Linked DNA regions of Cricetulus griseus. The protein of the gene in region 2 purifies or fractionates together with the protein of the main gene of each other region. This does not show direct contact. Links are inferred from orthologs where the notes say so. Each region holds a gene or a part of one and is shown on either strand. Other genes may lie near its edges.

Region 1 (4,861 bases), on a different chromosome or scaffold from region 2:
GGGTGGCACTATTTGTTGGAGTAGGTGTGGCCTTGTTGGTGAGAGTGTGTCACTGTGGGGGTGGGCTTTGAGGTTTCCTGCACTTAGGACATTGCCCAGTGTCTCAGTCAATTTCCTGCTGCCTTCTGATCAAGATGTAGTTAACACTATGTTTGTCTACGCCACCATTCTCCCTACCATGGTGATCATTGACTGAACCTCTGAAACTGTAAGTGAGCCACCCCAATGAAATGTTTTCCTTGTAAGAGTTGCCGTGGTCATGGTGTCTCTTCATAGCACTAGAAACCCAAACTAAGACATTATGCAAATGCAGAAGGAGGGAACTGACTCTACAAACTTGTCCTTTGTGTTGTCCTACAACATACACACACACACACACACACACACACACACACACACACACACACACACGCTTGCGCGCATGCACAGAGTAAGTGGGGGATGGTGGTGTGCTCTGAGTATATGGCTTACTTTTTTTCTTTTATAGCTTTGGAAATGCTTTAATTGTTGATGAAAAATTCTGCTGTTATTGTGAGTTAAAGAAACTCCCTGGACTTTAATATACTTTCCCCCTATTGGGATAAGTGTTTTGTTAATGTGTGTGAGGAGTTGAAATCAATAAAATACACAACAGGCTTATTCTTGAATCTCCCTCTTTTCACACATACGTACTTCATGTATGCACATGTTTGTATACATATACATATAAATTCAAATGTGTAATTTAAAAAATAAAAAGGACATACATACAATCTTCTATGTTTTGTATTCTTTACTCACTAGTGTAAGTATTTCCTGGAACACTAAATATTGCTTAAAATGATTTTTCACATATTCCATTATTGGTTGCCTAATGCATTATTTATGTACTTCCCTAGTCAGAATTTCAAGCTAATTCCAACATTTTTTGCACAGTAAAAAGCTGCAGTAACAACACACAGAGCTCTATCCATACCTCTGTTTTCATAATAAGTTTTAGAACTGGAATGAACTTGCTAAGGTTTTCATGAATATGATCTAGAGCTCATATAAATCCTCAAGACGGTGCCCGGCACACAGCAGGCATCTAATAACCAGAAGCTATAAATAGGAAATCAAGTAGCCAGGAGAACAGATGAACCGGCCCCGGCAGTGGGCTAGTGAAGGCGTGTGTGTGCCACCTCCCCGGGCACAGATGCAGCTGGGAGGTCTCGGCTAAGGAGCAGGACTCAGAGAGGGGCTGCTTCATCGCCGGCAGCAGATGGATCTACCAATAGCTAGAATGAAATGGTTCTATACTTAGAACCAAACACAGCAATACCACCTCACTGCCACCCACAGGCAGGCCTTCCTGCTGGTCCTTTTAGGCCCTCTGATTGATATTGATTCCAGTCTTCATTCAGAGCCCCCATGGCCCTGGAAACTCTGATCATAGAACAAACAACATGAGTCAAGTGTTCTCAAAGATTATTTATTAGCTATTCTCACTTGTGGTGAAAGGAAATTTAAAAGTCAATGAAACTGAAAGAAAATATAATGAGACTTGAACATTTCTTGCCTGAGGACATGAGCTGGACTGTATGGCATGGCCTGTGGTGGCTTCATGTGGACAGCTGACTTACAGAGCCCATTATAAGCACAAATAAAGGAATGGTGCACTCTTCTGTAGGGGTAGGCCTGGCACAGTGCCATGGGAAAGTATGGGTCTGTCTGTTTTCCACACCAGAGACCAGTGAGACCATAGGCCAGCCCTTTGCAAGTGCGTGCCTCAGCATGGCCAATCTCTGTTCTTTGACAGTGAATTTGATTCCTTAGTACAGCCAGGTCACGGGGAGGAGGTGGACAGACAAGGGAAAATGGGTTCCTGGATACGCTGGGGGAGCTAAGAGCTCTGAGTGCTACAATAAGGGGTTATTATAGGCTCCCTAGCAGCCCAAGAGGCCTTACCTAAAGAGATGCTGCCCTCGAAGCCTGCACCAAGCAACAAGAACATCTGGAGAGGAGGTGCAAAGCCTCCTGGGAAAGATTGTGGGACTGTGGCATTCCTTCGGAGGCTTAAACTCTGGGCTACTTGTTAAAGCCCTGACTCACTGGCTCAGTGCTCACTGGGACTACAGCAGCACGACTTGTTTCTTCTCACAAAACAGAAGCCTGCCTATCTAAGTTAAACACTTATTTGGTCTAGCAAAAGCCAGTTCTTTCAAAAGGATGTGGACAAGGGAATCTTGTCCTTTGTATCTTCAGCTACATCCTGGAAGACATCTGTGTCTGTCCTTCACAATGCCCTGAAGGGAAACAACCTGAGCTCCAGCAGTGCTCAGCTAAGCTTCTTTGGATGGCCACTGGACAGGGACTGGACAGCTGGGGGGCCTGCAGCACCTGGATCCCAAGGGCATCCTTGCAGAGTCACTCCTCCTTCCCCATGTCCGGGAGCCCCATAGGCATAGTGGGTGAGCTGGGTCCTAGTCCTCTGGGATAGGGGTGTTGCAGTTCCCATGGTAGATCTTGACATGGCCCTCACAGTGAAAGTATGCCTGGAAGACATCGCTGTAGCCATGGTCCCTCCACCAGGTGCACAACTGCCTGTTCCAAGTGCAATCCAGCACATGGAAGAGCTCAGGGTGCTCCATGCCGATCATGGTGAAGAAGTCCTGGTCCCCAAGGTGGCCCCGGAAGTGGTACTTGTCTGCAAGCTGCTGTACCCGTGCAGGCTCCAGCAGATGGCTGTAAAGCGGGGACTGGCGCATGGCCTCTAGGTTCAGCAGCATTACTCCACTGTTGAAGCCAGGGAGCCCCTCAGGCGGAGGGTCCCCAACTCTAGTCTTGGGGTTCTCATGGCGGAACTGCCAGAATGTGTGCCTGTGAAGGAGGAAAAACAGCATTATCCCAGGTCAGGGTGAATGAGCTTACCAGACCTGCTTCCTGGGCCTTCCCAATGGCCACTTACCCTCTGTTTCAGTGACAAAAGTAGAGGCTCTCTGGGGTTCAGCATCTGCATCACACTGCCAGCAGGCAGCACAGTGAGAGCCTGAATCAGCCCCAACCCCAGCTCTAAGTCTCATACCCTCTGCCACCTCAGGATGACCATGTTGATGAGGTCATCATGGTCACTGCCATCGTGTTAGAATCTGTAGAGATGGCAAATACTGGTGATGTGCTGAATGGGGTTGCTCCTCTCCCAGGTGCTGTGCTCTGTGACATGACCCCTCACCACACAGCTAGGAAAACACTGCCCAGGAAGATGGCGTAAGTTGCCTAAAGCCACATAGCCAGTAAGAAGCAGAAGCAGAGACGAAAGCTAGGCCTTTGGCTCAATGACAGCAGTGTGGTAGAACTCCCCACCCTGTCGTTACAGTCTTAAGAGAGGATGACACAAGACAGAAGAGATGCTGAATGACAGTTGGTGAAGTCATAGGCAGACAACTCAGACTGAACCAAACACTTTCTGCTTTAGAACAAGCTTCGTTCATGACCCTTAGCCTAGCATTTCTGAGGTGCTGGGGTCTAGAGACAGCTCTGGACATATATCTACAAGTCAGGGTGAAAGCAGCTGTATGGAGCCACATGGGACTATGGCATTTAGGAGGGATGCCACCTCAATTTTTGTCTTTCTCTGGCAGATTCGGAAAAATGACCCTTCTCAGCCTTTGTCCAAATACTTCCATTTAGAGGTAAGAAGAAACATCTGGAAATCTTCCTGTGATTGACATGTTTAGAGCACTGGCCACTCTGCTTTCTAGCCTTTCTAAGATCTTGTATGTTACAGTGATGGGGGCATGGGGTCCCCAAACCTGTACTCACAGACAAGGCTCAGCAGCAGCGCCCGGGGTGGGCTGTGTGAGCCTGGGTCCTCAGGGTGGGGAGAGCATCTAGGCCACACCAGCCTAGAGTGCATCACACTGTTCACAGGATAGGACGTGTAAGTTTTTGTCAAAAGCAAGCCAGAGCCCCAGAATGCAAGGCCTGCAGCAGGTCCAGTCTCTGGTTCTAACACATGACCCCAGTGAGGGACAGACAAGCCTTCTCTGTGGTCTCACATGTCAGAAAGGCAGCCGACAATTTGATCTTGGCAAGGGATAAGCACGCCTTTGGGACACCAACCAGTGGAGCACACAGGCTCATTGTTAGCATCTGGTCAGGAATGGGCTGTGCGATGAGTGGGGATCTGGCTCTGACCCAGCACCTGTCTGCTGATAACACCCTTGGTAAAGATAAGCTCTAAGAGCAAGCTGAGGCGCCGAGGTCCTCCTGGCCACAGAGCTGCCATGATGGGACCACAAGCATGCCAACACGTCATCATTTTACCCTACCGCCAAATGGTTAATTCCAGGGTCAGATTGCAAGCTAACTACAATTCTACTAGACAGACCTAGGTCACCACAGCATTACCAGGTAGAGGAGGGACCCTCTGGGGAGTGGATGCTGTACCATCCAGGTACTGAGTTCCTCTTCCAATGGTGGGACAGGGACATTTTGTAAGGAGGAAGAGAGAGCTGGGGGGGGCAGCTATGGAGGCCAGCTCATCTCTGTCCATCCTGCCCACTGCTTCCTTTCATCCCTTGTAGAAGACCTGGAAGAGATCAGGGGCTGGCTGGAGGGGCGGGGTCCCTGATGACAGGGCCTTGGCAGGGTGAAGTGACCAAGAAATGTCTATGAAAAGGTAAGAGTGAGTCTGTGTGGCCTTTGGTATTGGTGGCAGCAGGAAGCAGGCCAGGGTAAGGACACCGAGTCACCACACTGAGCACTACATCCACCATGGACAAGGGCTCAGATGAGCTATAAGGGTTTTACCCTTCAGTATGGAGTTCACAGCTGGGGTTCAGGGGGAGACCCTTGCTTGGAGGCTCGCCAGATCTTCCCTCCCTGTATCAAAAGTAGCCAA
Region 2 (6,076 bases):
ACAAAACCCAAAACCTTGAGTCAAACTACCAAAGTATTTTGTCCACCCAAAGGGAGGGGAGGGCTGGTCATGGATGTGCATACCTTCTTTCCCCCACTTTGGTTTTTCCAGACAGGGTTTCTCTGTAGCTTTGGAGCCTGTCTTGGAATTCTCTCTGTAGACAAGGATGGCCTGGAACTCACTGAGATCTACCTGTCTCTGCCTCCTGACTGCTGGGATCAAAGACGTGCATCACCACTGCCTGGCTTTAGACGCTCACACCTTTTAATCCCAAATGTTGGAGGCTCAGGAAGCAGATCTCTGTGAACAGCTACACAGGGTTACACAGTGAGATCCTGTCACAAAAACAAAAAGATAGTCCTGCTGCTATTGTGCTCTTTCAGGAACTCAGGGCCTTTGCTCAGGCTGGACAACCACTGAACCCCTCAGCCTGTCCCACCCTGGGTTACTCTAGGAGCTGGCTGGTCATTGTGACTTCTCCACACCTTGCAACTGTACGGCCCCGCCCCCTGCCAGGGAGGTGAGGGAATAAAGCAGCTCAGATGGGGCTGGAGTCTGGAAAGAGGACTTTCACACCCAAACATCTTCCAGGCTGGTCTGTTTAGCCCCCAAGGGGCAAGGCCTAGTTGGCAGGGCAAGTCTGCTTTACACGTTTACCTCTTTGTTTCTGCTTTGCAGAAACGGCTTTTTAAAGTAGTAGTTCTCAATCTGTGGGTCTCTACCCCCTGGGGTCAAAAGACCCTTTCTCAGGGGCTGCCTGAGACCTCAGAAAACTCAGACATTTATGATTCATAACAGTACCAGAGTACAGTTAAGAAGTAGCAACAGAAACAATTTTATGGCTGGGTGTCAGCACAACATGAAGAACTGTATTAAACTGTATTAAAGTTCACAGTGTTAGGAAGGTTGAGAACCACTGCTCTAAAGGAATACATCAATAAAGGGCCACATTAGGAAGCAAAATGGCCCACAAATGACCAGTCAGACACATAAGGACACCTTAACTGTAAGTGGCTTCCAATTTTAAATTTCTATTAGGCAGCTGGAAGGAAGTTTGAAGCTGTGGTTCCCACTTGTGTGAACATTCCCAGCTTTCACTCCCATTCCCCATCCAATAAAATACTGATTAAGGCAGCATTTCTCTCACCGGTTTCGAAACATAATTCTGTCAATTTCTCCCCTTTAGCTTTTTCCTTCCAACACCCAGTTACTCACCAGGCTCTGCCATTTCTGCCCTTATGGTGTTGGAAACCTTTCTCCAAGCTTCCCTTTTCAGCGAGACCGAGAAGACAAGGACGCCCATGAGAACATCTTGTACAAGTGAGAGGCAATCTTGGAATCAGAATTGCTGCCGGGCAGGCGGTGGTGGCGTCTTTAATCCCAGCACTCTGGGGGCAGAGCCCAGGCGGATCTCTTGCGAGTTCCAGGCCAGCCTAGCTTACAAGAGCTAGTTCCAGGATAGCCAGGGCTACACCGAGAAACCCTCTCTCGAAAAGCCAAAGAGCAGAATTTTTTTTTTTTATGCAAAAGAACACAGGCCATGCACATCCCGATGCAAAGACTAGCATCCAGGGAATCCTTCCTCAGGTTTGATAGCCACCTCTCTGTGGGACCTTTAACCACATAGATGTGCACACACACTCACTTAGAGGGCCAACTCCAACGAGTCTTTGCCCAACTTAGCAGGGGTGTTTTGGTTCGTAGTACCTTATCTGCCACCTTTCTTTTGTATTCTGGCCGCCCCTCCCCCTCCAAGCAGCCGACACAAGAGTTCGGAGGTTTGTAGCCGATAAATAGTGTGAAATCACAGAGCCTTGGAATTTTAGCTAGAAGGAAGAGGAGTTCCACTTGCCCAGCCCTTCCCTCCATTGATGAAGAAACAGGTGTGGCGAGATTAGGTGACCCGTCCAAGTCACGCAGCAGGCTCCCGCCCCAAGTCTGCACCCCACACCTTAGAGACTCAGTGACAGACAGGCCTGACTTGACACGGTTCCCCCGGGGAGGTGGCCCTGCGGGTGACCCGCTGGATGGAAACTGCTCCCGAGGCTGCGGTCGGGCCGCCAGCAAGCCAGTCCCCAGCTCAGCTCCCCGCCCGGCCGCGCCCCCGCCGGCCAGCACAGCCCGCACGGCCCGCACTCCCCGCCCCTCCCGGGCGCCGACCTGTCACCCAGCCGCCCCCACGTGCACCCGGATCACCCGGATCGCCGGATCAAAGTCTAGGGCGGGCGCGGCAGAACCGCAGCCCGGAATCCGCGGCGCGGGAAGCGGGAAGCGCTGAGCGCTCGCTGCGCCCCAGGGCTCGGCGCCGCCGCCCTGCCGCCGGCCCCTCCGCTGCACGCGGCCCGCGCCCACCCTCCCCCGCACCGCCCGCCGCTGCACCCGGCCGCGGCCCCGGCCCACGCCCGGCTCTCCAGAGCACAGGCCCCGCCCGCGGCTCCCGCGGCCTCGCCCCGCCCCCTCCCGCCCCTCGGCCGCGCCAGCCAATAGAGGCCGCGGAGGGGCGGGACGCCGCGGCTGTCGTGAGGCCGTCCTGGCCAATGAGGCTGCGAGCCGGGCCGGGGGGCGGGGCCCCGGGGCCTTGTCACGCTCGGGTCCGTGTGAAAACGGGGGTTCCGAGTGCAAAGCAAAGTTTTTTTGTAAACCGTCTGCAAAGGCGGGGGGGTTAAGAAGGCGGCCGCCGCCGGGCCGAGCGCAGTCGCCGCGGACGCCGTCTCCGGAGCGCCTCGGTCCGATGCTCGGCGGGCCCTCGGCGCGCAGTCACCCGCCCGCCGCGCCCTCGCCTAGTCCGTCCGCCGCCGCCGCCGCCCGCCACGCCACCGCAGAGCCGAGCCGAGCGCCGGAGTAGCTGCGCGGCCGGCGGTTTCCCCACAGCGCCGCTCCGGCTCCGGCTCCGGCTCCCGCTCCGGCTCCCGCTCGAGCGCCGCGCCGAGCCGAGCCTCGGGCCGCCGCCATGGGCTGCTGGGGCCGCAACCGCGGGCGGCTGCTGTGCATGCTGCTGCTGACCTTCATGTTCATGGTGCTGGAGGTGGTGGTGAGCCGGGTGACCGCGTCGCTCGCCATGCTGTCCGACTCCTTCCACATGCTGTCGGACGTGCTGGCGCTGGTGGTGGCGCTGGTGGCCGAGCGCTTCGCCCGGAGGACCCACGCCACGCAGAAGAACACGTTCGGCTGGATCCGCGCCGAGGTGATGGGCGCGCTGGTGAACGCCATCTTCCTGACGGGGCTGTGCTTCGCCATCCTGCTGGAGGCCGTCGAGCGCTTCATCGAGCCGCACGAGATGCAGCAGCCGCTTGTGGTGCTGGGCGTCGGCGTGGCGGGGCTGCTGGTCAACGTGCTGGGGCTCTGCCTGTTCCACCACCACAGCGGCGAGGGCCAGGGCGCGGGCCACGGACACTCGCACGGCCACGGCCACCTCGCCAAGGGCGCGCGCAAGGCGCGGCGCCGCGCCGCGGGCGAGGCGGGCGCGCCGCCGGGACGGGCGCCGGACCAGGAGGAGACCAACACGCTGGTGGCCAACAGCAGCAATTCCAACGGGCTCAAGGCGGACCCGGCAGGTGAGCGAGCGAGCGAGCGAGCGGGGCGGCGGGCGGGCGAGCGAGCGCCGGAGTGGTCGGGTCGGGTCCGGTCGGGACGGGAGGGCGCCCCCTGGCGAGCGAGGCTGGTGCCACGCCCCGCGCCCCGGTGCGCGGTGGTTCCGAGCCCACTGGACAAGTTTGATGCTGCGTTGCTAGCGGGGCGGTGTTGTGGGTGGGTGCTGGGTAAAGGCGGCCTTTGTGAGCGGCGGGGTGTGTGTTTCCTTGGACTGACCACCCAGTCCGGAAAATCACAGGTTAGGGACCTTGCCAGGGCACGTTGCGCGTCTGCCTCTTAGGGCTTTGGCTGGCAATCATGGTGCTAGACCATCATGATGGCGATGTGTTGTTTCCCTTGTGGTTTTTAGTGAGCGTTTTTCATCTTGAGCACTGGTGCTCTTGGCTGAAATTTGGAAGGTGAGTGTTGAGCAGGAGTGAGAAAGGACCAGCCGGCCCCGCCCAAGTTCGACGTGAACGTTTTTTGTGATCCTTGCCGTTTAAATCTGGCGAAATCACGCTAAGAGGCAGTTAGTTAAACTTCTCCAGTGTGTAACATACGTGTGCAGATGGTGCATGGGGAAGGTTTTCTCCTATTCCGAAGAAAATGAAACTACTCAGGTGTGCCCGTCTGACTCCAAGTTTTGTTTTGGGTTTTTTTGTTTGTTTGTTTTTGTTTTTCGAGACAGGGTTTCTCTGTGGCTTTGGAGGCTGCCCTGGAACTAGCTCTTGTAGACCAGGCTGACCTTAAACTCAGAGATCGCCTGCCTCTGCCTCCCAAGCCCTGGTATTAAAGGCATGTGCCACCACCGCCCGGCCTTGTTTTGGTTTTTTTGAGATAAGGTTTCTCTGTGTAATAACTTTGGCTGTCCTGGAACTCACTCTGTAGACCAGGCTGGCTTCAAACTCAACATGGATCTGCCTGCCTCTGTCTCTGCTGTGATTAAAGATGTGTGCCGCTGCCACCTGGCAATAGCCTTCAGTTGCCGATTTGTCAGTTTGTAAACCTTCTCTATAGAGACAGAATATGTATAATATTTATGATAAGCACTTGTCTCAAGCAGTCTGGCTAATGCTGCTAACAAGAGCTATGTCAGATCAGCTGTGTTAGAGGGCTTATCTCCTCAGCTGGGCTTAAGTGATGGCCTTAAGTTTTGTTTCTCTTTGTGTCAGAAAAGTACAGCAGAATGTTTACAGGTTACAAACCCAGTAGTGAGGGGCAGGGGAGGAAATGAGGAAACTTGCCTAAGGACACAGTTTAGTCCTCCCTGCTATGGCCTGGCAGTGCCCAGACTATCAGTCCATTGAGCATTGAGTGTTGTTTCTCAGCATACTTTTATTGTGCTTTTTAAGTTTCAACGTCTTCAACACTAGACAGGATGCTTGTCTGAGCACTCGCCATGTGTTTAATTAAAATCGTATTGCTTCATTGTAGAGTCAGAAAAGAACAGAAGTGATGACCCAGTGGATGTACAAGTCAACGGGAATCTTATCAAGGAGCCTGACAATCTGGAGTCGGAAGACAACAGGGCTGCACAGCTGAACATGCGGGGAGTGTTTCTGCACGTCCTCGGAGACGCCTTGGGCTCCGTGATCGTGGTAGTGAATGCCCTGCTCTTTTACTTCTTCTGGCAGGGCTGTTCTGAAGACAACTTCTGCATAAACCCATGTTTCCGTGATCCCTGCAGAACCTCCGTAGAGATCATCAACAGCACCCAGACGGTGGTTCGAGAGGCCGGTCCCTGCTGGGTGCTCTACTTAGATCCAACTCTGTGTGTGATAATGGTTTGTATACTTCTTTACACAACCTATCCATTGCTTAAGGAATCTGCTCTCATCCTTCTACAAACCGTTCCCAAGCAAATTGATATCAAACATTTGGTAAAAGAGCTCCGAGCCGTTGAAGGCGTTGAGGAAGTTCATGAGCTACACGTCTGGCAGCTTGCTGGAAGCAGAATCATCGCCACTGCTCACATAAAATGTGAAGACCCGACCTCATACATGCAGGTGGCCAAAACCATTAAGGATGTTTTTCACAATCACGGAATTCATGCTACCACCATCCAGCCTGAATTTGCCAGCGTGGGCTCTAAATCAAGTGTAGTCCCATGTGAACTTGCCTGCAGAACTCAGTGCGCTCTGAAGCAGTGCTGCGGGGCGCGACCTCAAGTCCTTTCTGCCAAGGATGCAGACAAGACCCCGGCAGTTAGCATATCTTGTTTAGAACTCAGTGAGAATCTAGAGAAGAAGCCCAGGAGGACTAAAGCTGAAGGCAGCCTCCCTGCTGTCGTGATAGAGATTAAAAACGTGCCAAAAAAACAGCCCGAATCATCTTTGTGAGTCTTGAAAAAAGATGTGATATTTGACTTTGCTTTTGAACTGCAAGAGAAAATAGACTCCATTGAAATACTAAGTTTTTGCCAAGTAGTGTAATTGAAGTCCTTGTCTGGTCGCACAGTTTAATTCTATTTTTGTAAGAACATAATGGAACTGCATAAGAGAGCGTT
Region 3 (6,016 bases), on a different chromosome or scaffold from region 2:
TCCTAGCACTCAGGAGGCAGAAGCAGACGAATCTACAAAGTAAGTTCTAGGACAGCTAGGGCTGTTACACAGAGAAATCCTGTGTTGAAAAACAAAACAAAACAAAATCACACACGAATTAAGGGTATAGAGTGACAAGTCTCTCTTCTACCCAACCTCCCAATTTGTGTGTATCCTTCCAAAATTTTTGCCACTATTAAGAATCTTGGCATGAATGGTTTTCACATACCTAACTTTGAACACAGTATTTCACTACCACATAAATCCCTGAAATGTAACTGCTGCCTAAATTTCCTTGAATGTAATCAGTTTCTATAATGTCCTTGCCCAGGACAAGCTTCCAATATGCCTTTAACTACTTTCTACTTTTCAATTGCTCTCTTAGATCTGGAATGTCTCACCAAACTAAGCCTACAGTGTTATTGAGAAGTAGCACAATCATTACTAACCACTTACAGAGTGTGCTCTTGGAGGGAACATTGAAGTTTGTGTACTTCCTCACTCTTTGCTTTTTGGCCCCAAGGTAAGCCACATGTTTCTGCTACCATGTTGACAATGTTGCCACAGAACCAGAGCAACAGGGCCAAGTGAACAGAAGCTGAAACTTTGAGAAAAAACCCTTTCCCTTTTACTTCAAATAGTTTATCACAATAATGGAAAGCTGACTAACTGCTAAATTAAAATTTTTCTTCAGTTTATTAAAGACTTAAAAATTCAGGCTGGGCATGGTAGTGTACTCCTTAAATCTCAGCACTTGGGAGGCAGAGGCAGGCAGAGCTCTGAGTTTGAGGCTAGCCTGGTCTCAAGTTCCAGGACAGCCAGGGCTACACAATGAAACCCTGTCTTGAAAAGCAAAAACAAACAAACAAAAAACAAAACCCCAAACAAAACAAACAAATAAAGTCTTAAAAAATCGTTAACATTACATTTAAATTTCTTAGTTAAATTTATTTACAACTTGGAGCTAAGAAATGTTTCACTGTTTTCTTTGAATTCCATATATTTTTTTCCCAAATTTTTAATCTGATACAGTATATCCTGTATATTCTACTGAATGTGGGTGAAATGATTTTGTTTAAAGATAAGGTTCCAAGTTCAAAATAGTCCTATGGGCATTTTTGTTTGTTTGATTGATTTCATTTCTGGGACAGACTCTCCTAATGTAGTCAAGGCTGGCCTTGAATTCATAATCTTCAAAATTTACCATGTGCTGGGATTATACACTTACATGACCATGCCCTGTTACCATAGGCTCTTTAGAACACTACACTACTGTCATACAATGTTGGGAAATCTTGACTTCTAGTCCTTTATAAATACATATAACATTGTTTTTAGAAGCTTATAAAATTATGTATTTATCTCCACAGTTCATAAATTTTATTAGACAGTATTTAAGTGTGTATTCAACAATATTAAGAATTTTGGTATATCAATTCACTCATAAACTCATACACTTCTGCTTTGAGAAATATCCTTCTTTTCTTGATATTTTTGGTATCTTCTGTGAGTTGGTAGGAGAGCGGCAATCAGGATCTGCTAGCACAGGTGCCTATTTTTCCATGAGCCCTTTGAAAAGTAGTATTTCAGATCCTCTCTGAGATAGAGGAAAAAAAAACAAACCAGAAATTATTTATGTTTGCCAATATTTTTTCTCCTGATGGATCGATATTCTCTCTCTCTCTCTCTCTCTCTCTCTCTTCCTCTCTCTCTCTCTCTCTCTCTCTCTCTCTCTCTCTCTCTCTCTCTCTCTCTCTCTCTCTCTGTGTGTGTGTGTGTGTGTGTGTGTTTAGTAGGCAAACTACCTCTCCAAACTTGAGGGTACTAATATTTAAAAATCCTCAACTCAATTGCTTCTTGTATTTTCCCAGATTACATGATCTGGCTTCCTACAAATGTTTAGTAATTTTTGTTCTGTTATGGAAATATACTATATATTATACTAGTATAATAAATAAATTCACATCCTAAAGTAACCTCATAATTAATTTAATTCAATTTATACTTACACCTAGTACTTGTGTTGCATGACAGTAACTATATATAGTCTTGAAATCTCATGATTCTCCAATCCATTTTTAGCTATATCCTTTGGTACTTCATTTCCTCTGACAGCTACCACATTTCCCTTAATAACCACTAGCTTGAGTAATATAATTACCTAACTGTTATCAAACTGAACAGTCTTATCATGGCCTGCTCTAACTGACTTGTGGCTAAAAGATAATTAAATGTAATGAATCTTTGAGAAGATTGTCACTGGTGCAAATACAAAGTGTACATAGTAACTATAATGAATATAACATTTTTTTGGGACAGTGTGTCAGGGTGTATCCTTGGCTGGCTTGGAACTAACAGAGATCTGCCTTCCTCTGCCTCCTGTGTGCTGGGATTAAAGGTGTGCACAACCATGCCTTAACTCATAATAGCTATACTTTTAAAACCAGCCTTTACTGTTGTAATTAGTTAAGAGATTCTGTTACATTTTTACAAGAAAGAGTCCATTGTGTTAGTTATGTCTCATTTATTCTACATCTGGCAGGAATGTATTCACATACTCACTAAGATATTTACAAGAATGTCACAACATCCTTAATACCTAAAACACATAAAACACAAAACGGGAAGCACACATGCTCATGAACAGAACAGTCACACTACACAATGGAACACTACAAAAGAACTATCAACAACCATACCACGATACGAATGACACCATACCAAAAAAACCATGAAGAGTGACTTCCACAAGCAATATTCTGAGAACACTACATATTAACTCCATTAATGTTAAGTTCAAAATAACCAAACTAAGGTGGAGGAGAGAAGTCAGAATACAGATGGGGAGGCAGGGGTACAACCGATTTGGAAGAAGCAGAGCACTCTGGAAATGTTCTACAGTTACAATCTGATGTGTGTAGTAGGAAACACTGTAATAAGCATGTAAAGTCAGTGACCTATATACAGTTAATTTTTATGCACTTGTTGACTTCGTGTGTATTTTATATCTCCACAAAAGAAGTGAAGAAGGAAAAAAGGTAATCTCTAAATTATTCAAAACTAAAGTTGCCTGTTTTGCTTCAAATCCTGTAAGCCACATATACCGGAAATCCAACATCCTTTTTGCTTTCTTTTAGTCACATACTTTTTAAAAAAGTAGTAGCGGATAATAATACAAAATGTTCCTGCCATAAAACACTTCTTGTCACTTCCCAAACCGAAGGTGCTATCTTAATAAATCTTTAAAAGGCAGCATCAATCTACAAGGACTTAAAGGCCCAGGGGCCTTCAACGACACGCACTGTCAATCAAGACACTGCACACACACGCACACTTCAAAAGCAGGCTAAAGACACCTCTAGATTTAACAGGGCTTCAGAGGGAAAGCTTTAGATTTGCAACCAAGTTAACTGTCATGCTGCCAGTACCATCACCACAAACACAAGCATCGCTGTGGTGCTGCTCAGCCGCTTGCTCAGAAATGCGGGAATTTTCCAAACTATCTGGTCATCCTGACAATCCCCCGTTTCTCCGGGCTCTGGGGGTCACCGACTCCTACTCCAAGAGCATCTTTTAAAGGAGGCCGTTTTGTCAGAGCCAGGAGGGCTGCTGCCAGAGGACGCTTTTAACCCCACAGTAAAAAGTTTAGCCACTCAGCAGAGGCGACGGCGAGTAGGTTAGAAAAAAAAAAAACAAAACAAAACAAAACACAACTGACACGCAAACCAACGATCTCTGGCAGCAGCAGTCTCCTAAAGCCGCACCAGACTCGGGAGGGCACGTCAGGGAAGCGCCGCGCCCGGCTGCGTCCCGTCCGGGAGGGCTCGTCGGAGGGGACCGGCGGGCCGCCGGCCAGAGGCGCCGCAGGCGAGGGCGGTACTCACCGCGCCCGCCGCTCAGCGCCGCCGCCCTGGGGAACTGCACACCTGGCCAGCGCCCTGCGCTGGCCGGCCCGGCGCGCCGCCGCGGAGCACCGCCACTTCCGGCGCGCGCGAGGAAATGAGGGAAATGAGGGTGTGGCGCCGCCGCGCGCGCCTGGCCCCTACAGCCCGGCCCCGCCCTCCACGACCTGGTCCCGCCTTCCATGATTAGGTCCCGCCCTCCATATTCAGGCTCCTCCCTCCACGACCAGGCCTCACCTTCCAAGGCCAGGCCCCGCCCTCTACATCCAGGCCCCGCCTTTCACTGCCAAGTCCCGCCTTCCATGGCCAGACCGCGCACGTTACAGCCAGGACACGCCCATCCCTCCTTCTGTCCTATGCCTGGCCCAGAAAGCTCCACTATTGACAGTGTTGATTCATCTAAAACCAAACAAAAAACCGAGTGCCTGTGGACCTCCAAAAAAAGCATGAAAGAAGAAAACCAAACTCCTGCAGGGACTTAGAGTATCAGATCAAATGGCGATTGGCTTTGGAGATCCCTGCCAGAAGACTTGCAGCAATGTGTAGCAGGGCCCTGTCCCAGGAACCCTAAGAGACTTCTATAAGTTTTGGGGTGCTTTGTTAGGGACCCCTATGTCTCCAGAGCTGTCTGAGTATTCTCAGGCGAGCTGGGCCCTAGTCAACGAACCTAGTCTGCCAATGGCACTTGGGTTAGCCATTCCATTTCCTTATATGTCAAATTATGGCATTTAAGTAGACAGTCTAGTAAACAAACGGTTTTAAAGACTGAAGTTGTATGATTTTAGTAAGTATAAAAACAAAAACAAACCTCTCCCGCTCTTGCTTCTATGCAAATGATTGCTCGGGGAATATTCTCAAGGCAGTGACCACCATGAATACTAGTGTAAGCAGGTCAGAGGCTAGTTGCATAAGGCCCTCGTGTGTCTGGGTAAAATGTGGTGGTGCCAAGAGGCAGCTCTGGTGTCTGTTCCACTCTGGTTGTTTTTTCTTCGCAGGGTTGTTTTGGCAGACTACTTGGACTTAGCCCCTCTGACTCTGAGGTTTTTTTTCATCTGTTTAGCAGCCAATCACAATAATACATGTTTCCTAAAACTGTGAGGATTAAATGCAATTTTAAAAAGTCATTTTATTCGAATTAATTCAGAAATAGAAATAAGGAGTGTAGGCAAAGGGACACATGACACAGAAAAGAGCATCTAAAGCCCCCATCCTGCCTTTTTTTAGTTTCAACTCCATCATAGTTGGTTGTTGTTGTTTTTTTTTTAATTTTTTCCCTTTCATGATGGATAAGTGAATTCAACTTCCTTGGTATTGAAGTAGCAAGAACCACAAGAAGAGAGAAAGAAAAAAGATTTCTTGTGAAAGCAAAATCCTAAGCAAAGCCCCACGGCTTCAGAATGGCCACTCTGCCTGCATCAAGGCCAGCCTTTTCACCCCCTAGTACCTTATATTCACCAAACAGAACTGTGTAAAATGAAAACATGTGGGGGGATCTTTTCCGTGTTCAGTACCAACCTTCCTTGAGGAGAAGGTGTGTTGGTTGGGTCAGCAGCCTCTCACTAGTCATCTCTCTTCCCAGTTAGCAGGGCAAGCACTTGTGTGAAGACTATCTACATGTGAATCTGGTTAAAGCGTCCCTAGCACGTGGGGTTGTCGTGCTATTTGTCACACGAGTGTGAGCACCCAACTTAGGAGTGTGAGTATAGAGATGCAACAGAGGTCTCTCCTAGGAGACTTGAAGCATGGGGACCTCCAGCAAATGGTAACATGCACAGCACTGCTAAATTTCTAAGGTAAGACTCAAGTTCTTCAAAGTACTAATAAATATAAATGGGCGTCTCATTAAATGTTAGAGAACAATGATGCCAGTTAGCTTTGGCACTAGTAGTTCAAACCCATGGTCTACTGCGTTCCCACACTATACTTGACATTTCATCAATGGTTACTGAGAAGTTCCCAGGAGCCATGTATGGTCCTAGCACTCAGGAAACTGAGGCAGAAGAATAATAATCTCGAGGCCTGCCTGGACTACATAGTAAGTTCCAGGTCAGCCTGGCATACATACCGAGAGCCTGTCTCAAACAAAAAGAAAGTTCACAGACCTAGGGGCTTTT
Region 4 (5,545 bases), on a different chromosome or scaffold from region 2:
TTGCTTCTTATCTGGCAAGACATCATTTTCTTATCAGTGACTCCCAGGGAAACACTACATGAGTTTTGTATTGGTTTCCTGTCCAACCCTTTTCAAACCAAGAGTACATTCATTAAGTGATGCTATATACACCCAACTTTTAAGAAAATAATAGTAAGTCTCAAGGAAGGGCTGGGAGAGGGCTCAGTAGTTAAAGTGCTTGACACCAGAGTTCAGATCTCTAGAACCCATGTAAAATGCTGGGTGAACACAGAGGCCAGCCTGTAATTCCAGTTTCAGAAGGTGGAGGCAGGAGATTCACCAGGCAAGCTGGCTAGGAAGACATGTTATATAGATTGAGAACTGTCTCAGTGAACAAGGTAGAATTGCATCAAGGATGATTTTCCAAGCATCAGCCTTAGGCCTGCACAAGTACACACACACACACACACACACACACACACACACACACACACACACACACACACCATTAACCTTGGGCTTGGCTTCCATATGTACACACACACATACAATTGCACTCAACGCCCCTGACCCCTGCCACCTCCACATATCACAGAGAGGAAAAAGGAAAAAGGAAAGAAGTTATCAGCAAAACAAAAATCAGACCAAATCCTAAAATTAGTAATAATACCCACGTGGATACTGGTCCCACTAAATTTTTGTAATGTTATTTTAATTAGTCCAGGTAACAGGGAATCCCTCCTTGTCTTTACTTGGTATTGAACAGCCACTGAAATGGATTCATCTAGAGTAGGCTAATCCCAGGAAGGAATGCTGTTCACTGGGTTGGCAGAGAACTGAGAGTCTGGGGGCTGGCAGGCACTACTGCTATTTCTGTAGGACACTTTTTAACCTGCGGTAGTTCCAGACACAATGGAACTTACCAGTAACACATGCAAATGCCTTTATTTTACGAACTTCATTTTGGCTTCACAGCCCTACAGATGAGAGAAAGCTGGGGAATTATACTTGACCTCAGGGCAGTACACATGCAAGCCACATGGCTTACATGTCTGTGCAGGAGAAGAGAAGTCTCTGACAGCATGGGGCTCTTAAGAGAGCTCCCAGCTTGAATGACCCTGACCTGCAGACACAGTTCTTGTAGACTCAATCTGCTTCTTTGAGTGGCTAGGCATGAACAGAACTGTAAACTGGCCATATTTGTGGTTCTTTTCTGAATGTCCTGAGGTGACTATCTTATCAGCAAGGAATGAGAAAAACTAAGATAAAAGTAGTGGCTTCACTGTACTTTATGGTGACAGAATTGTGCATATAAGACATGTGACATGGAATTTACCACTGAGCTGGTTGCCCCCAAGGCCCAGGGTGTGGTTATGTATAGGTGTATTTGTCTAAGAACCTGGAAAGGGAAATGTGGGGATTTTTTTGTACACAGCACCAAAACTAACACATATTCATATGCCAAATGATACCAAACTAATTCAAATTAACACTTCAGTCTTAACACTTACTGAACTATCAAAGGTTTATCAGAGAAAATAAAGGGTTTTTCGAGGACGGCAGATATTGCGTGGTGCTTGGCTTTAGACTTCAGAACCAGGCCTCGGTCGCCGGGGACCTGGTCTTCCTTCAGCTCTTCTATTTCCCATCTTCCTAAATGAGAAAGCAAAACAAGTGAGTCAAACAGAAGACCCAGAAAACCACAGCTCAGCAGTTGTTAGCAGTGATCTTTGCCATGAGAACTGAAGAATACATCAGGAAATAGTACCTGCTCTTTGTATTCCCCTTCCTTTCCCCCTCTTTCCACCCACTCCTCATTTCCCCTTCTCATTTTTCCCCCCTCATCTCCCCTCCTGTCTCACCCTTTCCTCCCTGACAACCCCCTTTCCTCTTTCTTGTCATTTTTCAGAAACTGGTTTCATTTCCTTAGGCCAAACTTGGAAGAAGGTACACTTCTACAATAGATGCAATTAGGTTTTCTTGACATATTTTCAGTAAAATAAATGATAAAATATGGTTTATCTCATAAGTACTATCAATGCTGACTCTAAGAAATGAGATATAAAAGCCAGTGTACTTCCTGTGTGTGGGTTTGCTCTTCCAAGTGCACCTTCTTGACCAAGAGCAAAGTTTGCCTTGTCCAGACACTTAAAATGAGAAAAAAAAAATGAAACTAAAATGAGATCGTTAAAAATGTGTATGAGACAATGTGCATCTTTAACACAAAGTGGGCAGTCTGTCCCTGGGCTGAGTTTACTAGGAAATGCATGCACTCTTCAAGGATTCTCATAGCATTCTGTAGGTACTTAAATTGCATTTGAAGACTATCTCATCACACAAACCCTTCCCTATTAAGCCATGTGGCTGGGTGAGCTTTGGGCCAGGAAGCAGTGACACCCCAGAGAAGCACTAAGCCAGCAAGCAGCAAATCAAGCTAGGGCTCTGGGCTGTGTTCCTGCAGTGGGTGAGACCGTGGGTTACACAGGCTGTGAGCCAGGTGGGCAAACTGGAGCCCCAGAGTTCTGTGCTGGGCATCACTCTTTTAAAACAGGGGAAAAAATTAACTTATGTTCATTTCAAAATTATATGTTTGAAAATTATGTTTGTCTGTTCTAACTAAACTCAATCCAGCAAAAGATGGTTATTTTGCTATAATGTTTCAACTCACAATTATTTTACAGGCACATTTAAATCACTAATGCTCTAGACTGCTTTTTTCTTTCTAAAAACAATGAAACTATCACAAGTCTCATGATCAAAGCAGCTTGAGTTTTAGTCTGTCATTTGTAGACACTATTGGGATTGTTGTACATACCTGTAATCACATTGTCACTCAGATAGCTAAGGCAGAAGGATGACATGATTTAGGGAAACCTGGGCTATATAGCAAGACCCATCTTAAAAATAAAATAAATGCTTGCAGGTTTCCTTAAAGCATACCCTAATCTTTTATTTTTCTAAAGTGAATATTTTACTTGGTTTAAAAAAACAAAACAAAACAAAAAACAACTGTGAAGTGCTTAAACACAGTTGCTTAAATCAAACATTCTGGTTTTTTTTTTAGCAATACTAGGCTTATTTAGATCAATTTTAGCATTATATCCCTTGGACTCATTGTTTCTTTGATGGGAAGAATTTTGTAAGTGGCTTTAGATTGGTCCACACATGGTCTCATGTGGAGTATACACACATGGTGGCAGGAGGAATTTGTTTGCTGGGACTGAAAACATGCTGTATAGAGGGAGACAGGTGGGCATGGTCTCCATCTTACACAATTACAGAAGCTGTAAGAAGGACACTGACGACTCAAGTCTAGCACATGCTCCGAAGGGACCACCTGCTGAATCTGAGGTCTAGGCCTTATTTATGCTTAACGGTGTGAGGAACTCCTAGACAGTGGGGTTCCCCTCCTGGTTCCCAACAGCAGAGGTTACATGACGCTTTTAGACCAGAAGGGAGACATTCTTTTGTCATTCTCCAAGGTGGTCGTTCAGCCTCTCTTTCTTCCTTCCTTCCTTTCTTTTTCAAGACAGGGTTTCTCTGTGGTTTTGGAGGCTGTCCGGAACTTGCTCTTATAGACCAGGATGGTCTAGAACTCACAGAGATCTGCCTGCCTCTGCCTCCCAAGTGCTGGGATTAAAGGTGTGCTCCACCACCACCCGGCCCAAGGTGGTCTTTCTAGGGAAGAAAATATGACCTTGAAAGTCACTTCCACAGCCACGCCTGAAGCAGCCCCATCAGGAGTCCTATGGATGATGGTCAAGGCTTGAGGCTGTGGCTGCAGAGGTGGCCACTATCTTATAGTGCTCATTAACAACTCTGCTCTTGATCTATGAGTGCCCAGGCTTGGGGTGAATCACCCAGAACAGCAGTGCAAGCTAACACCCTGGGGTCAAAGTCCAACTACAATTTAAGAATCAGAAAACTGGCTCAACCCAGCAATCCCTGAAACACTGAAGAGGAACAGGGTGTAAAATTGAACATTTCCCTGTGACAGCTGGCTGGTCCTTCTGGCCAACATAATTTAACAAAAATATAATCTCAAAGGCTAGTGAACATGAGTTATTGTTATCTAATATTTAAGTAAGTATTTTACCATCATACATGGAAAGTTCTGAATCCATGTCATCCTTCTTTGCTTTTGACAAGACCCACCTGTAAGTAAAGGCGAAGACAGATACTGCCATTGAAATAAGATTTGCAATTTATAGATAAAATGAATGTAAAAAATACGAAAAGACACCCAACATAATCAGTTTTTATTTAAAATGAATTAGTGCCAAGAAGTTAATTGGTAAATCTAGCCTTTGCACAATCCCAGGAGGCACGGAATCTGCTCTTGAGTATGTGTGTGGGAGTAAACTCCCGTGGGGTGGAGGGAATGGAGTACATATTGAACCACCAGCAGAGGGTCTGGAGCATACTAGTCAACGGGTGTTAACTGCTACAGATAGGCATACCATCACTGTGGCTGAACATAACTCAGTTGTCTTGTGAATCTCCACAATATCTACCCCAGAGAGCAAGGAAATGCCATGTGCTTCCTTTGCATTCTGAATTTGTGTCTGTCTTTGTATAAATTCATAGCTTTAAATTATTCCACAGTCACAGGAGAGCTAATTCTCACAGACTAATAGCTTCAGAAAACCCATCAAATTGAAGAAAATGTGCTCTTGCAGGAGTACTCACCCAGCCAGCCTTCCACTGTCAAATGTTTCTGTAAAATATACTTCTCCTATAGGTTGAGGTGTCTTATATATAATTGTCTAGAAAAGAGATTTTTAAGCCAAAGTTACTCATTTTTGCAAATATCTGAAGTCAGCCTGATTGTTCGGAACCTAGTACACAGTACACATGGGCAGTAGAGATCCCGGCTGGCATGGGCTCTGGTTGCAAAGCTCATGTCTTAGTAATGTCATAATGAAACCTGTTATTTTGTACAATTGATGTCTGGTAATGAAAATTTAAGTGTTTTTTCCAATTTCTTGTCATCTCACCAAATATACTTATGAGTGGTGAGCACATGTCAATTTTTAAGTGTGAACTTTTAAAGACCCCTGTAATAGATGTTTGACCCAGGTGATGGTTTGTCAAGCATTGCTTTGTAAATCACAGAACTAAGTTTCAAAAGAAATATCTTTGCAGAGACTAAAATTTAAAGGGGAAGCAAAATAGTTACTGCAAACCGATAATAACATTTATTTGCATGTTAAAAACCCAATAAGATGAGATGAAGCAAAGGAATCTGTGAGAACTTCCTGTTTGTTACTTGGGCCCTTTAAGCAGAGGCTAGCATAGAAGGATGAATGATTTTTAGTTATCACAGTATTATATGGGAATACATTCAATATGGAGGCTCCAGAGGATGGTTAAAATAGATCAACCAAAATCTCTGTTAAGTTCCCAGGCTCCCGTCAGTCACCACCTCAGGACATACACTTCGACAGTGCTGAGGCATAGCCCTGGCTCAGCCCAACTAAAGTCCACCTCGTTACTCCTTCCCTTTCCAATCCATTGTCCTTGTGTGCATTATCTACCTACAGAGAAATAAACAAAAGCTGCTTCCTTTACTTCTTGAAGAACC

Evidence for each region.
Region 1: the proteins of Slc30a1 (region 2) and Xxylt1 purify together in Homo sapiens (co-immunoprecipitation; 3 studies listed by BioGRID and IntAct, with this or other methods). This does not show direct contact. The link is inferred for Cricetulus griseus from reciprocal best matches to the Homo sapiens genes SLC30A1 and XXYLT1.
Region 3: the proteins of Slc30a1 (region 2) and Csgalnact2 purify together in Homo sapiens (co-immunoprecipitation; 3 studies listed by BioGRID and IntAct, counting the BioPlex papers as one, with this or other methods). This does not show direct contact. The link is inferred for Cricetulus griseus from reciprocal best matches to the Homo sapiens genes SLC30A1 and CSGALNACT2.
Region 4: the proteins of Slc30a1 (region 2) and Clgn purify together in Homo sapiens (co-immunoprecipitation; 3 studies listed by BioGRID and IntAct, with this or other methods). This does not show direct contact. The link is inferred for Cricetulus griseus from reciprocal best matches to the Homo sapiens genes SLC30A1 and CLGN.

The regions. Positions count from the first base shown.
Region 1 is NC_048597.1:58,501,382-58,506,242, reverse strand, and holds the end of Xxylt1 (xyloside xylosyltransferase 1), read right to left. Parts: intron 2,839-4,861; coding exon 2,442-2,838; 3' UTR 1,430-2,441; downstream 1-1,429. UniProt on the Homo sapiens protein: Alpha-1,3-xylosyltransferase, which elongates the O-linked xylose-glucose disaccharide attached to EGF-like repeats in the extracellular domain of target proteins by catalyzing the addition of the second xylose.
Region 2 is NC_048598.1:3,154,777-3,160,852, reverse strand, and holds the start of Slc30a1 (zinc transporter 1), read left to right. Parts: upstream 1-2,608; 5' UTR 2,609-2,950; coding exon 2,951-3,554; intron 3,555-5,004; coding exon 5,005-5,909; 3' UTR 5,910-6,076. UniProt on the Homo sapiens protein: Zinc ion:proton antiporter that could function at the plasma membrane mediating zinc efflux from cells against its electrochemical gradient protecting them from intracellular zinc accumulation and toxicity.
Region 3 is NC_048601.1:26,763,990-26,770,005, reverse strand, and holds the start of Csgalnact2 (chondroitin sulfate N-acetylgalactosaminyltransferase 2), read right to left. Parts: upstream 4,005-6,016; 5' UTR 3,885-4,004; intron 3,835-3,884; exon of another isoform or gene 3,719-3,834; intron 1,587-3,718; exon of another isoform or gene 1,456-1,586; intron 1-1,455. UniProt on the Homo sapiens protein: Transfers 1,4-N-acetylgalactosamine (GalNAc) from UDP-GalNAc to the non-reducing end of glucuronic acid (GlcUA). Required for addition of the first GalNAc to the core tetrasaccharide linker and for elongation of chondroitin chains.
Region 4 is NC_048596.1:159,040,403-159,045,947, reverse strand, and holds part of Clgn (calmegin), read right to left. Parts: intron 4,728-5,545; coding exon 4,651-4,727; intron 4,117-4,650; coding exon 4,058-4,116; intron 1,615-4,057; coding exon 1,473-1,614; intron 1-1,472. UniProt on the Homo sapiens protein: Functions during spermatogenesis as a chaperone for a range of client proteins that are important for sperm adhesion onto the egg zona pellucida and for subsequent penetration of the zona pellucida.